2 linked regions of the Saccharomyces cerevisiae S288C genome follow. The main gene of each other region encodes a partner of the protein of the gene in region 2 in a complex. Each region holds a gene or a part of one and is shown on either strand. Other genes may lie near its edges. A codon is read from its position in the direction of its gene.

The links.
Region 1: the proteins of ATG32 (region 2) and ATG8 are in contact, whole or in part, in a crystal structure (PDB 3VXW), measured with the Saccharomyces cerevisiae proteins. Residues at the interface, in NP_012120.1 of Saccharomyces cerevisiae: Ser85 (codon at 1,630), Trp86 (codon at 1,627), Gln87 (codon at 1,624), Ala88 (codon at 1,621), Ile89 (codon at 1,618), Gln90 (codon at 1,615); in NP_009475.1 of Saccharomyces cerevisiae: Glu17 (codon at 873), Ile21 (codon at 861), Arg28 (codon at 840), Pro30 (codon at 834), Val31 (codon at 831), Lys46 (codon at 786), Lys48 (codon at 780), Tyr49 (codon at 777), Leu50 (codon at 774), Val51 (codon at 771), Pro52 (codon at 768), Leu55 (codon at 759), Phe60 (codon at 744), Val63 (codon at 735), Arg67 (codon at 723), Phe104 (codon at 612).

Annotation. Positions count from the first base shown.
Region 1 is NC_001134.8:79,811-82,809, forward strand, and holds ATG8 (ubiquitin-like protein ATG8), read right to left. Parts: upstream 922-2,999; coding exon 568-921; downstream 1-567. Other genes in the region: isoleucine--tRNA ligase ILS1, read right to left, coding at 1,233-2,999.
Region 2 is NC_001141.2:73,892-77,651, forward strand, and holds ATG32 (mitophagy protein ATG32), read right to left. Parts: upstream 1,883-3,760; coding exon 293-1,882; downstream 1-292. Other genes in the region: pantoate--beta-alanine ligase PAN6, read right to left, coding at 2,463-3,392. UniProt on the Saccharomyces cerevisiae protein: Mitophagy-specific receptor that recruits the autophagic machinery to mitochondria and regulates selective degradation of mitochondria.

The DNA.
Region 1 (2,999 bases), on a different chromosome or scaffold from region 2:
TATTTTAATGTAATAAAGAGGCCTTACTAGACGGTAAAGTTAAGAATATCGAGTGAACTTTTCCTTAAGATAAAGGTAAATATAGTCGAGTATTTATTTATTATTCTTTTCCACTATACAGTATTTAAAATTCTGTAAGAAATTGATTCTACATACATAAGACAAACGAACAGGTCAGAGAGAATCAGATTTTTGGTTAGCAAGAATACATTTTGGAGAAGAAAGACATTAACTCCACCTTACTGTATCATCTTATTTGCTTTTTCACTCCTTCCTAATATTTTTTTTATTTTATTTTGAATTTCTTCCTATTTCTGATGCATTGAACAGATCGTAATCTGTAAGTAAATACCATAACGTGCTCACATTTGTCTCCAAATACTGGTGAAATCTTGGCTCCGTTGTGTACAAAACTTCTTAATGAATATATATATATTTTTCCCTTATTTTATCTTTTTTTTTCGAATTTTTTATGTAAACATTCTTATACTGGAACAATAGATGGCTAATGAGTCCCTATAATTTCGATTTTAGATGTTAACGCTTCATTTCTTTTCATATAAAAGACTACCTGCCAAATGTATTTTCTCCTGAGTAAGTGACATACAAAAACCCGTCCTTATCCTTGTGTTCTTGATATATGGCAGACATCAACGCCGCAGTAGGTGGCAAAGTATCATTGACAAAAATGAAGATGGCCTTCTCAGGGGGTAGCATAATTCTCTTTCTTATAACATAAACAAATTGCCCTACGGTAAGGTCAGCAGGAACTAGATATTTACGCTTATCAATCTCTGGAATATCTGACTTTTCAGCTTTTTCGCAAATCACAGGTATCCTATTCTTGAACCTGTCAGCAATCCTCTCCGACTCCGCCTTCCTTTTTTCAAATGGATATTCAGACTTAAATGTAGACTTCATGTCTCTAGTAATTATTTTATTATGATTTTCTCAACTTTACAATTATTAGATTCTCTTATCAATCCCCTCCTCAACCTTTAATGGTTCCCCTTTTTGTATTTCCATAATTATACCAAATATTTTTGCCGCCGCCGAAAATAACCGGCCTCCGGGTGATGATATATCATGTGCTATGATTTCACGGGTATTATACAACATTATCGGTGGAGACAGTTAGCATTACATGACTCTAACTTAAACGTAAACTTACACATATACATCTATATCACTTCGAGTAGAGAAAAATTTGTACGTATTTATATGAGTTGTTTTCATAATTTGAACACTTTTAATTTGAAAATGGTGTCATTAATAGATTGTTCTTCATCACCAATTGGGTCTGTCTTTGAGCCGTCATATTTGGCAATGTCGGATCTACAGGTCTTGCTTAACATATCAAAATGTTCTTTGACAATGGCTTCAAAGTCGATAGTATCTTTAACTAATTCGTACTCCACTAAAACATCGTCGGTGGCTTCCAAACCACACTTCTTTCTCAATTTTTGGATTCTGTTGACCAGCTCTCTTGCGAGACCTTCACTCTTTAGTTCAGAGTAAATATTTGTATCCATGATGATTAACACGTCTTGGTCGGTTCTGGTTTCTTGTCCAGCTTGGACAGCAGATTCTGGCAAGCCTCTAATAGCATTCAAATCTCCTTTAACCAGTTCAATACCGGCAACCTCCAACTTTCCGCTTTCCAAATATTCCCGTACTTGCTCAGAAGTGACTGATGGTAGGGCATCTTTAACCTTCTTTGCGTCTTTTTTCAACTTCTTACCCAATACAGGCCAATCAGCAACTGCTTTATACTCAACACCATATTTTGCCTCATCGGAGGTGATAACAACATCACGAACATTTAATTCCTCGATAATGTAGTTTTTCAAGGCTTCTACATCCTTCAAGTATGATTCATCACTGTGAAGGATGACCAAAGTCTTCAATGGAGTTTTTAAGGAAATAGTTTTCTTTTCACGAATGTTTCTACCCAAATCGATAACGGATTGCATTCTAGAAACTGCAGTTTCGATGGCCTCGTCAAAGTATTCTTTCTTGACCACTGGGTAAGATAAGAAATGGACTGATCTTCCGTCCTTACCGTATTTTGCTAAGACAGCTTCTGGGATGTATTCCTTCAGTCTCAAATAAATGCTTTCTGACAAAAATGGGGTGAATGGAGCCATGGCACGGACAAATGTGAATAAGGCATCGAATAAAGAATTTAATGCTTTCAAACAGTCCTCAACACCGTTTTCACCCTTCAAACGACGACGATTAAATCTAATATACCAGTTTGTCAATTCATCAATGAAATTCAAAAGTTTTGGAACGACAGTGTATAATTTGTACTGACCCATTTCTTCGTGAATGAATTGTACTAGAGATTGCATAGAAGCTAAAATCCATCTGTCCATGACATTATCACTTTTCACAGAATCATCATATTGGAAGTCGATGTTAGACATCTTTTTCAACAAGGCAATTTGACCGTCCAAAAATTTAAAGGAGTTCCACCATGGTAGTAAGACCTTTGAAACAACCTCCTTAACACCCTCTTCTTTGAATTTCAAACTTTCAGCTTTTAAAACAGGTGAGTTTATCAAGTACAATCTTAATGCATCCGCACCATATTTGTTCAGAACAATGGATGGATCAGGGTAATTTTTCAAGGATTTAGACATCTTTCTACCATCGGCAGCTAAGACAATACCAGAGACGATGACGTTCTTGTATGGAACAGAGCCAAATAGATGGGTACCTAAGACAGCTAACGTGTAGAACCAACCTCTTGTTTGATCCAAACCTTCAGAGATGAAATTAGCTGGAACTCTTTCGTCAAATTTTTCTGTGTTTTCAAATGGATAATGTTGAGAAGCATAAGGCATAGAACCAGATTCAAACCAACAATCAAAAACTTCTTCAATTCTCTTTAAGTCACCCTTACCTTGCTTGGATGGAATTGTCAATTTGTCAATGACATCACGATGCAAGTCAGTGATGTTACGCACACCGGTCAATTCTTCCAATTCTTTGAT
Region 2 (3,760 bases):
ATGCGCTATGGTTGATTTTTAATTGTTTTTTTGTGTTGAGACGCGAAAGTAAGGAATATATAAAGAAACTTAAATTTGCTAACAGAAGAAATATTTTATAAGCTGTTTGTTTATGTATTTATGAAACCAAACAAAAAATTGCCTGTATAATGAAAGAATTTTCATATTTGATAAGCTTCTATGTAATTAAGGAAAGGAACCAAACGGGGAATATAGATACGCAGTGAGAGAAACAGAAGTGATAGTAAAAAAGTGAGTAGGAACGTGTATGTTTGTGTATATTGGAAAAAGGTTACAATAGAATATAACCCAGTGCCAAAATCCGATTAGATTCATCAATGGAAAATTCAGAGCTTTTATTAAGGTTCTCCAAAAATTTTAAAGGTTTAGAAAGAGCATGCAAGACAAAAGTATTCATTTTGCCCCAAGTCTCCTTGATTATGGTAAGACTTTTCATAATGAATCCATCGGAGTGGAAGTTTATCTGAAGCGTACCCTTATCAAACCATAAAAACTGCTCAGTTGAAGAAGGAGATGCAGTGGCGGGCGTATTGATTGTGTCGCTAGAGGAATCTAAGGAAAGTAAAGAGGCCAATATGGAGGGCCGCAAACTTAAAGACTTAACTGTTTGGTGTTCGTATGCTGCAGTGACAAAGTATGTCACACAACATCCAAAACTAATTCCTATAGTAATTGAAATGCCCCAAGTGAACCAGCTCGTGAAGAACTTCTGCTTCTTTCTCTTGGGTTTTTTATTCGATTTAGGGGATTTCTTTTTTGAGTTTTCGGCTTTTTTGTTACGACAATAGGACCGAGACTTTGTATGTATAGCTTCGTCATCATTATCTTCCTCATTCACATCTTCTCCGTATTCCAAGGATAAATCTTGTAATCTTTGAAACATTTTTTTCAAATCTCTTTTGTTGGTCACAACAACTGGAGGAAACAATAATTTAACAAGTTTATTCCTTAAGAATGACTTCAGGACGTTTTTCACTTGGATGACTTGCCCAGGCTGGCAGATCGGTATTACAGGCTTGCCTTGAGAATATTGAACGATCCTGTTTAGCAGAGATACCATCTCTCTCAGCTCCTGAAAAATTATGACAATCCCCGTATATTGCGGGAATGTTGCGGAATCGTGATATTTGGGTAATTCAAAAAGAGATTGGTATTCTTTTGGTATTGATTGATAAAAGCTGGAACCAGTCCTTCCCAGTATTAGAAGGCGAAAAACTGGATTCTTTTGTGTTAGTGATAGTTTGGGCATAACAAAAGAGTTTGTCGAAGAAGTCAAGCTTTTTGTTATCGTCACACTATCTTCCTCAAAAGCCTCATCTTCATCACCATCATCATCTTGCTCGTTAAAAGGAGTTTTTTCCTTACCAGGCAAGGGCAGCGATATTATCTTCTGTAACTGTTTAAAGGGATGAGACGGTGAAACGACATTTGCTCCTTCTTGTCCTTGTTTAATAATATTTATTATATCAGCAGCAGGCGCTTGAAGCAGCTCTTGTTCTTCTTCAGAAGTATCACTAGATGATAGAATACTTCCATTAGTCGTTTGAGAAGAGCACCTTTCTGGGATGAAAGAAGCGCCCAAGTCCAAAGGCTGAATGGCTTGCCACGATCCTGATATACTATCGTTTACATTGTGGTTGCCGGATATGTCAATGGACGTAACCAAGTTCTGTCCCATTGGCGAAGGCGAATGCCCTGTCTTACTCAACAATTCCAATACTGATAGATGAGGGTCAAGTAAGCCTTTGTCTTCCCCAGTTTGTGCTTCAGAGCATGTGTGAATAGTCGTTGACGAGGAATCAGGTGGCATGCTTTTAGATGAGGATCCTTTACCTTCCCTTTGTTGGTATTCCAAAACCATATGTTTACTGTTCCTGGCAGATTTTTTTTGCTTTTGTGATTAGGACTTCAATATTGCTTATCGATAAGAGAAGTCACAACTGATAAGAAAAATTGTCAAAAACGAGAAATGGGCTTTGTAAGAAAATATTTCAACAATAACCCAAAAATATAGATTTTAAAAGTATAATGATTATGCCTCAGGAAGCTTACTGCACCTTATTTCCTAAATAACTTTTTTATTACTTAATAGATCTGTTTCTTTTTTTTTTTTTTGTAAAAGGGGTGCGTCAAACAATAGATATATGCTCTAGACAGACGGTGATCTAAGATATTTGAGAAAGCACGAAACAAGTGCCAAACAACTTCAACTTTGCTGAAGTAGTATAAACTTTGCTTTTACTATGCAAACTGTGAAAGACGATTTGTCCTTTCCATATTTGTGTTTTGAGCGATGGGGATGTCGTCCCTTCAGCCGTCTAAAAAAAAAGTCATCAAGCGTGAAATCTATCATCCCGTTGTTGGTTTAAAAGAATATCGTGCATACTGTATAAGAGTGGTATATACTGCAACACAGACACGGGAAGGCCCAATCACCTAGTTTAAATAACGATGTTATCTATTAGTCTGACGACCGTATCGGGTTTTTCGCGGTCAGTCACGTATACAGCACAACTAATGACTATTGGCTGCTGTTCGCTGGTGTTTTCAACATCGGAGAGTTCATCAAGAGTCTTAAAATCTGCTAAGGAAACATAGTCGATTTTGAAATCGTGGGAATCAACGTAGGGTGCCCATATTTGAGTCACAGTATCGATGATTTCTGATCTGGAGAGACGTCCCCCTGGTGCTAGTCTCCTAATAGCATTTTCCGCAGCTTTCAGCCCGCGGTAAAGGTTTTCAGAGATCTTTAAAGACTCTGGACAAAGATATTTGTTTCTACTACTCAGAGCCAGTCCATTATTGTTTCTTACAATAGGCATCATTTGTAGCCTTGTATTAACAAACAGTTCGTCCACCATACACTGTAAAACAATGAACTGTTGAATGTCCTTCTGCCCAAAATAAGCCACATCCGCCATAACGATATTGAATAGTTTAGTCACGACAGTTGCCACGCCCCTAAAGAAGTTAGGTCTCGTCTTCCCCTCTAATTTTTCACTCAATCCAAGAACACTAACAAAAGGGCCTTTCTGCTCTTCTATGTCGAGCGGAATTCCCTGTGGATACATCACGTGTGCATTAGGAGCAAATAGAACATCCACCTTCAACGACTCAAGCAATTTGATGTCGTCTGGCAAAGTTCGAGGATAGTTATCTAGATCTTCCGTTGGCGCAAACTGGGAGGGATTTACAAATATACTGACCACAGTATAGGTGTTTTCCTTCACAGACTGCGAGATCAAACTAGCGTGACCCGAATGCAGGCAACCCATTGTGGGAACGAACCCAATAGTTTCTCTAAATCTAGTTTCCCTCAGCTCCTGTGTTCTCCATTGAACAACTTCTTCGACAGTATGGAAGATTTTCATCAATTCTATATGGATATGCAGTATAAAAACTTGTATAAAACAGTGCAGTATCAACACACACCACTTCTTGTACACATAAATATGTACGCTACATCGAGAAATGTTCATTAATCTCTTGTTGGAAAATATGACAAAAGAAAAAAACTCGTTAAAGTAACATTTACCCGGATATCTGTTCAGCCAACATTATAAAAAAGATGGGCGCTTAATTTCCACTCTTACAGATATCACTCCTTCTAATTAACTTACATCAGTAAGAAAGTAAAAAGAGCAACAATTCGCCACAAGAAGGTCTCTGTAGGGTCAATAGTAGCAGGGCTCTTGTCAGGGAAAGACTGTGAATGCAAAGGAAAGACGGTTGGAGGTCC